Linked DNA regions of Rattus norvegicus. The protein of the gene in region 2 purifies or fractionates together with the protein of the main gene of each other region. This does not show direct contact. Links are inferred from orthologs where the notes say so. Each region holds a gene or a part of one and is shown on either strand. Other genes may lie near its edges.

Region 1 (4,380 bases), on a different chromosome or scaffold from region 2:
TCAGTCAATTCTGTAACTAGAAGTGCTTGAGAGGAGAAAGACCTGATCTAGTCGCAAGAACTGAACACAGTCCAATTTGAACCAAATCCAGAAAACCGAAAGGACTGTATACTGAACATTATCACTGTATTAACCGACACTGATGAAGCTAGTCAAGATTCAACCACAGCTACTTGTTTTCTACTTGGCTACCTATACAAGTTCCTGCCCTTTGTGAAAGTATAATTCAGAGCCTAACTTTAGCTAACCAGCACAGGTTCTAAGTCCCCTCATTTAGAACAAGAAAACTAGCCTTCGTCTAGTCTACTTGGAAACTTGCCTATCAAAGATCAAAGAAACATGAGAACCCTTTATTAGACATATATCAACTAAAAATTATCACTTTATAAATTTAGGTTTGCAGTGCTGGTATGATAAGATACCAGAAGAATTAATCTCTTTCTCTCAAAAGGTAAATTTGGAATCAAGGCCCCAAGATAAGTGAAATATTCAAGAATTCTTTAAAAAAAAAAAATGTATGCTTGCCCAACACAATGGTGCACATCTGTAAACCCACTTACTAGGATCCTGATACAGATCTTAAGTCCAGAAGTTTGAAACAAACCTGGGTATCAAAGAAAGAGCCAGTTTTGGGGTTGGGGATTTAGCTCAGTGGTAGAGCACTTGCCTAGCAACCACAAGGCCCTGGGTTCGGTCCCCTTCTCCGGAAAAAAAAGAAAAAAAAGAAAAGAAAAAAAAAAAAAGAAAGAGCCAGTTTTAAAAGAAAAATAAACAAACACCTGCTTCTGGAAAGAAATGAACCATTCTGCTGACACAGATTTACAATCTCAGCTACGAGGGAGATTAAGAAGAATCAACACCAGTTCAAGGCTCACCTGATTGAGAGGGAGCTCAATACCAGCCTGGGAAACTGGGTGGGACGTCTCAAAAGGGAAGGGAGAGCCGGGGTTGTAGCTCAGGGATGGAGGGCTTGCCTAGCATCACAGGGAGGTCTGTGGTTCAATCCAGTACGAGGGGTTAAAAAAGAGAAAGAAATAGCAGAAGCTCACTTCAAGGTACTTTTCCATTCCCTGACAATTCTACACCTAAATTCCTAGCACCAAAGGATGCCAGTACTTGATACTAAACCATTTCCCCCCCGAAAGCTTGGTAGAGGGAAAGGTAATGATAGACTACTGAAAACAAGAACAAAACATTTTTAATTTAGGGCAACCTCTTTTACCAAAACCCAAAAGTTACTTTATCATATCATATCAATCTGTCTGTCTGTCTGTCTGTCTGTCTATCTATCTATCTATCTATGTAAGCAACAATATAAAATTTAGCTTCCCTATGTAAATGTACAATAGTGTTCCTGGCTAATTAATCTCTAGAAAGATCTAAAAACAGAGGCTGCCAAATGTGTTGGGTAACACGTGTAATCCCAGCACATAAAGCTGAGACAGGAAGAGTGTCAGAACAGCCAGAGCTGGAATGAGGCCCTGACTAGAAAAGGCAAAGAGGATGGGTGTAAAAGTACATGAAAATATTTCCTTCACACACACACACACACACACACACACACACACACACACACACACACCTGAAGAACTGAGGTAGAGACAAGAATGTTCTACAAATGCCACAGAGCTTCTGGCAAAGTTGACATGCCCTAACCTGCTTTAAAAATTACTATTCACTGCCTTCACCCCAACCTAATTTTATTCATACTATTCTTTTGGATAGCTCTACCAAAAAAAAAAAAAATTCCCCAGAGCAAATTCTTGTGTATTTATTTCAATATCCTGCCTACTTATAAGAGCGGAAGAGTCGAACACAGCAGGGGAAAAACGTGACGTGCACAGCTTTCATCCAAAACACAGCTCGACGTTGTCTAATTTTGGGCCTAACCGGTTTGGCTGTCTTTTTTAAAAGATTAGAAATGAAAAGCTAGAAGATCCACAGGTCACTTGTAAAGAAGAACCTGGCGGCTATCGATGGGAGTTGGTGATTTGTCAAAGAGGAAACAAATCTCACTTCCACTCTACCTATTTCTATTAAGACGGGATGAGGAGAGCCTCCCACCAAGCCACAATGGTAATTATTTTAAACATTCTGTCTTGGACGACTTGATCTAGAACTATTCAAAAGGCTGAGTCCACTAAGTTATTTGCAGCAACGTTTTTTTGTTGAGTGAGGGCGCGCGTGTTTCAGACAGCCAAACATGGTGAAAAGCCAACCTCAGCCCAAGTTAACCTTAAGAAGCAAATCTTCACCTCCTGGCTGACGATCAAGCAAAAACTGTAAGATCCTTAAGTTCTGTTCTTAAGCACAGGCTCCCAGAGCACTGCAAAACTTTCTCCTAATGTGGAGAACGAGGAAGAGTTTACAGACTCAACTTAAGGGGCTCAGGATTCCCGAGCGACGAGGCTGCAGAGAACGCAGCTGGTAAAGGAGGGAACATCCAGAAACAAACCCGAGGCGTCCGGTGCAGCGCCGGCCGGAGAGAAGGGCAAGAGCGGCCGCAGTGGCCAGGGTCCCCACAGCCCCGCAAGCTTCCTCTCGGTCGAAGCTGAGGAGAGCCAAGGCGCAGACAATGAGCCACCGCCCGGAGCCGCGGGCCCGCCCGCAGGTGCCGGCGTCCGGAGCCGCTGGGCCCAGGCCGCGGAGGCGGGAGGAGGGCGGCGGCTCGGCCCGGCCCGGGCCAGCGGTGTTCGCACTTACCAGAGAGGAAAGGTCTCCGCCCGACCCAGGGCGGGCTGCCGGGCCGACGCGGGCGAGCACTGTGCTGGGGAGCAGAGAGGGAGGATGGCAGGGCGGAGAGGAGCGGCGCGGGGCGCGGCCGTCGCTACCGAGGCTGTGAGGCGCAGAACCCCTTGAGCCAGGGAGGGGAGGGCAGGAGCCTTCGGCAATGGCGACGGCCCGGGCCGGAGGGGAAGCGGAACAACCGCTGCCTCTGCGCGTGGCCACAACCCTGGGGGAGGGCGGCGGCAGGGCGCGGGGCGGGACCGTAAGATAGCCCCGCCCCTACCGCGGTCATGCCCCGAGGGGCGGGCTCTCACAGGGCTGCTGGGAACCGTAGTCCAGTCATTTGCCGGGGAGGCCCGGGACAGTGGGCATTAAGGAGAAAACCTGTCCCTCATTTAATTCTGCATTCTGCATTGTCTGCAGTTATGTTTTACCTACTGAAGATGTTGACGGAGAACACCTGATCCGTACATGTTTGTGTATACAGGGTGTTTGTTTCTGAAAATTTATCCATTCACCACTTGGCTCTTTTTGGGGAGGGGGTGGGTTTTCAAGACAGGGTTTCTTTGTGTTGTCACTCTAGTCCAGGCTGACTTTGAACTAAAAGATCCACCTGCTTCTGCCTCCTGCGTGCTGGAAATCACTGCCCAGCTCACTTTGCTTTTATTATTATTATTTGTTTTTTTTTTAACCTACAAATTTAACCAGATTATGCTGCTAAATTAGGCCCTCTCTCTTTGCAAAGATTTTTTTTTTAATTTTTCTGTTTTTTATCAATGGAGGAGTTAATCTATGTATTCTTTTTTTTTTTTTTTTTGTTTTTGTTTTTTTTTTTTTTTGAGCTGGGGACTGAACCCAGGGCCTTGCGCTTGCTAGGCAAGCACTCTACCACTGAGCTAAATCCCCAACCCATAATCTATGTATTTTTATTCCATAACTATGTCACTATCTAATATCTACAAAGGACACCATTAGGCACCAGAGATTTGAGGATGGGCATGCTTCCCCTAGTCTTTGTAAATTAAAGATATGAAAACATAATAATCAAAACATTGATACCCATTACAAGGTTAAAAAAAAAACCTGGGGGATTACTGTGGACAAAGTAGTCAGAGAAAGTAGCATTTAAAGTGAAAACAGAAAAGGAAACCTAGAAGGACTGAGGGGATGGGAAGTACAAGCAGGAAAAGGAATGCTATGGTCAGTGAAGACCCATGTAGGGCTGGGAGAGATGGCTGAACCGTGGAAGGCCAGGCTCACAGTCAAGCCACAAGAAGACTTGTGTAGCTGCAGCTTGGTCTAAGATGGGAAGGTTAGGAAGTACTACAGTACAAGATACAATTCCAGCACTTGGATGGCTGAAGTAAGATGAGGAATTAGAGTACTGGCAGGTAGAGGAAGGATAAGGGGATACAGAGTGACTTGGAGGTCAGATAAACTACATGATCCTGGAAGAAGCAAGACGATGAGTAACCAGTACTATGGCTGCTTAGGACAGTTCTGAAGTGCATATCTAGTGTGTACCATTTTATTCTCTGCAGCCTATCAAATCCTACATTCAGCCACCTGCTAGTAACATAGGGTGTACCCTTGATGTCTTAGTCAGGGTTTCTATTCCTGCACAAACATAATGACCAAGAAGCAAGTTGGGGA
Region 2 (4,434 bases):
TGGCCTCCATAAGTGAACCCTTCACATCTACCACAGGCCCCATGTGACAGAGCTAAGCCACCTCTGAAACCATGTGCTAACACAAGCCCAAGGCCTGCCTCCTTCCCTGAGCGTCCAGGCACCATGTCATAAATGTAAGGCCAGAGTATCCCAGGCCCGTGCCTGCAGCTCCTAGCTTTGCAGTTCTGACTGGCAGCTTTTCCCAACGTTGAGGGTGTCTCCCAACCCTCTGGACTGGAGCAAGAGACACGCTCACCAGGGACACGCCCAGCCTCCAGGAAGTGTCAGAGAGCGCTCTGACCTAACGGCACACAGTAATACTCTTGTCACAAGGCGATTCTTGTGACACCAGATTCCTCCAGAACACGGAATCCACGCAATGGCCCACATCCTAACTGCAGTTGTTATTCCAACTTGATGGACCCTTAAATACTCCCACAAGATTTCAACAGTAAGGGGTTAGGGATTTAGCTCAGTGGTGGAGCGCTTGCCTAGCAAGCGCAAGGCCCTGGGTTCTGTCCCCAGCTTCAAAAAAAAAAAAAAAAAGATTTCAACAGTATTTTCCTGCATTGAACACATGAGGATTTTCAAACCTAAAAAGCCAAGATACACACACACAGGGAGAGCGTCTCAAGGAAGATGGAGCAACACATTGGTGAGATAGGAAAATAAGGAGTTTAATAATTGGAGGGGGCAGCACACACACTGCAGCAGTCACACCGGTGCGGTCTGCCAGCACCGGCTCCTGCAGTGTCGCAGGGAAGGAGGGGTTGGCATGAGGTGCACAGGGAGCGTGGGCAACAACTGGGAGGGAAGAGTGGAGCTTCAGAGGCTGCACGCAGCAGCATGGTTCAGAACGGAAAGTGCTTCACTAGAGGACAGGAAATGGCTTAATCCCCCTCATCCCTCACAGAGCGCGGAGGAGTTGGAGTTGGTGAGAGGCACCCTGTGCTGTGGGTGTCAGAGCTCCACCGCAGAGATGCAGGAGGAGAACGGGGTGTGTGCCAGCTTTAAAAAGGACTGCTCCGGGTGCAGATTCTCGCTCCCTGAGAGCCTGGAAGACACTGGATCTCAGAAGGACAGGGTGGCGTGCTGACACAACGCTACCACCCTGTCCAGGGTAGGGATACTCATGGAAGTCTCCAAGCGAATCATTAAGGCAGGTCTGTAAAAACTGTCCTTGGGGCCTGCACAGCCACCTCGGCGGGGTGAGGACCGCGTCAGAGATGGTCTTCGCTTGCTCTTGGCGGAGGAGCTGTCCAGCAACCCCAGGCACCAGTCGCCAGCAGTGGAGTTGCAAGGAGCGTTGTTCCTGAGGTGAGGTCCACTGTGACAGCGAACACACTGTCCTCTGCTGTAGTGTCTTTTGGGTCGGAGAGTGCTTGGGAAGCAGGGCTTACCAAAGAGAAAGAACACCTCAGCTTTTCTCACCCGGCACAGACTGGGCTGGTAAAATGCTAACAGGAGCGGGAGGCTCTGGTGGATCCTGACAGACGCTGCACCCAGCCAGAGTGTGGAGGAAGGAGAGCACAAAGGGCCTCCACACACCCACTCAGAAACCTGCACGGAGGACGAGCGGCCAGGAGCTGGGTCACAACCTAGGCTATGCTGAGGCCCCAGCCACACTGCTCCTCAGTGTTTAAAGACAAACACCTTTCTATGGGGAAGTATCTCTGACTTCAAAACAACCTCTTTGGAGAAAGGAAGGGGACAGCTAAGCTCCTGAGGTCACTGTCACTGTTGCCAAATCAAGGGCAAGCCTGGCCCAACAGAAGCAGGGCCTCTTGGAAGCCACCAGCCTTCCAGGGCCCATCTGGGCCTGGGGAGGCAGCAAGGGAGGGCGGGGGCACAGCACTGAGGCTCTCCGCGCTGCTCCAGTGCGGTGTGTATTGCTTTAGTCTTGCTCAGGGTTAAGAGGGCTCTCAGTGGCCTGGACAACGCTGGCTGCAGCCAAAGGCAGAGCAGAGGTTGTGGATGAAAACGGCCTGCAGCCAAACCCTGCCCGGCAGCACCGGCTAAAGAATATGGAATAAATAACACAACTATGTACAGGGCCAAGATACACCAGGCTAGCCCACTACTCCACACTGTGACCCAGGGCCCAGGCAGGACAGCGCAGCAGAGGCGGGCACCAGTCTCACCCTCCTAGAACCCATGGTGCCCTGGGTACTGCCGTAGCTCGGGACTGGAATACTGCAGTTAAAAGAGACACACAAATCCACTGTGCCTGAGTGCCTGCTCCTGATGGCACCAAGGAGCCTACACTGCACACGAGTCAGATGCTGCCCGGGCATCCCTTCACCTCTCTGCTTCCAACACTTTAGGAACACAACTTCAGATCCCTGTGGCCAGAAAGGCTGAGAAGGAAATCCTAGCAAGAGGGTTAGCCTAGTCACCTCTCAGGTACATGTTCATTCAGATCTCAGTATTTACAAGGAGTACACAGGTAAGCTATTTATAGATTCAACTCAAGTCCCAAAGCCGAGGACTCTGGTCAGTCACTGCAGGGAGAGGTGTACAGCGAGGTGCTCACTCAGCCCAGGCCTCGGTGTCTAGAACTCACATGTAGCTACTTCAGCAACAGCTCATCACTGCTGCTTGCCTTTTGAAGACCACCTCCTTAGTCCTGAATGTCACTGTGCTGGGGACCAAGGGCCCCAGCCTTGTCCAGGAGCTGCTGGTCTTCAGCCTATGAGAATGAAGTCAGCCTATAGATTGGTCTCATCCCAAGCAGGGTCGTTCATGTTCTTTAGAACCTTCCTCACCAGCTTCTCTAGGTCCTTGCGGGCCCTCTGTTCCTCCTCTAAGGATTTCTTCATCTTCTTGTTATCCTGTAAGGCAAGCAGACGAAAGCAGGCTCACTACCTCAGCACCCACGGCATCCCTCATCCTAGCTCAATCCTTAGGTCGCTAGGTTGGGGGGGGCGGGCTGGCCAACGAAACTGAACCGTGAATGTACTCTGAAGAGTAACGGCCATCTCCCACTTACACGCATGAAGACAACTTGATAAAACTGCCTGCCAGAAGGAAGGGGCTGGTAACAGTGTCAGGACAATGTTACTGTTACCATTTTTAATTCCTATCCAGCCAAAAGCAGAGCAGAAGCCCCAGCAACTGAATGAAGCAGGTCAGGAAGGAAGGACAGCACGCTGCCCCAAACGTGGGGAAGGACAGACAGGCACTGCCAAGTGTGTCCAGTTACCCCACCCTCAGGACATCGCTGCCCTGTCCCTCCAAAGCGCCTGCACTCCCACCAGCGTTGAACATACACATCACACAGTGGTTCAAGCAGTGAAGATGCTTGCAGGGCAAGTCTGACATCCTGAGTTTGATTCCAGAACCCACATAGAGTGAAGAGAACCAACTCCACATGTGCTATGCCACATGCTCCACCCATGTCATACATACAAAGGAATAAAGCACAACTTAAAGTTAGGCAAAAGACTGTCACACACATAGCTGGCTAGGTACCACAGTGGACAGCATCCTACATCACTCCAGCAAACCCAAAAGGCAGCAGTCGATACCCCAGGATTGGGGTGATAAGCTGCCCTGTGGATGTCAGCTGAGCTTGGACCTCACCCGCTGTACCGTCTCTGCAGCCCTCGCCCGTCACTGCTCGGAAAGGCAGTGGACTTTGTGGTTCCGTTTAGTACACAAAGAGTTCCGTGTTAAACAGTTCCCCTTTTCTCCTATTAAAACCAACTGATTAAAAGTAAAAACTGGTTGGCATACCTGTCGTAACTCTTGGACTTCATCCTTTAGTGCGTACACGGTATCCACGAGGCTCCTGGAACAGGAGAGTGAGTAAGCACACGAAAAAAGACAAAGGGGCAAAGACTGGCCGGGACCAGGGCCACCTCGGGCAGCAGAGAGCCCAAGCTCTGCCTACTGAGTCCCCTTGTCTAAATCTGTAACTTCAGAGAGGAGCCCACCTGGGTACCTCAGGCTAACCCCAAGCCTAGACGTCACCCATGGGATGGACTGGGGGCGTGGGGGGGGAGCCATAATGGAACAGAAAGCCATCTTACTTTTCCTCTATCACTGTCTGCCCGTTGCTTTTGGTTTCTTCGACTATAATTTTCTCTTCTTCTGGAAGCAACACTTGTGGAGCAGACTCTTTGCGTGAACCTGGGTCATTAAGAAGAGAAGTCCCATGTGAGTGCCACTGAGGAACAAGAAAGGGCACCTATGTCACTACACACCACTTACACAGCACCAGTGACTACAGTAAAGTTTCTGACCGCTTTCCCCCAGCTGTCTGCCTGTCGGGTGTGGCCAACCAAGACATCACAGAGCAAAGGAAACAGCAGAGGCGAGCTGAGTAAAAACGGCCTCTTTTGCCAACTTTTAACTTTTTAGATATGTTAATCTCCAACAGCAAGAACCAAAGGTCTGACCACACTGCACTCAGCACACCAAGTTTATTTAAAC

Evidence for each region.
Region 1: the proteins of Arhgef7 (region 2) and Pak2 purify together in Homo sapiens (co-immunoprecipitation; 5 studies listed by BioGRID and IntAct, with this or other methods). This does not show direct contact. The link is inferred for Rattus norvegicus from reciprocal best matches to the Homo sapiens genes ARHGEF7 and PAK2.

The regions. Positions count from the first base shown.
Region 1 is NC_086029.1:82,211,479-82,215,858, reverse strand, and holds the start of Pak2 (serine/threonine-protein kinase PAK 2), read right to left. Parts: upstream 2,925-4,380; 5' UTR 2,704-2,924; intron 993-2,703; exon of another isoform or gene 876-992; intron 1-875. UniProt on the Homo sapiens protein: Serine/threonine protein kinase that plays a role in a variety of different signaling pathways including cytoskeleton regulation, cell motility, cell cycle progression, apoptosis or proliferation.
Region 2 is NC_086034.1:84,372,471-84,376,904, forward strand, and holds the end of Arhgef7 (rho guanine nucleotide exchange factor 7), read right to left. Parts: intron 4,132-4,434; coding exon 4,032-4,131; intron 3,791-4,031; coding exon 3,736-3,790; intron 2,832-3,735; coding exon 2,709-2,831; 3' UTR 657-2,708; downstream 1-656. UniProt on the Homo sapiens protein: Acts as a RAC1 guanine nucleotide exchange factor (GEF) and can induce membrane ruffling. Functions in cell migration, attachment and cell spreading. Promotes targeting of RAC1 to focal adhesions. May function as a positive regulator of apoptosis.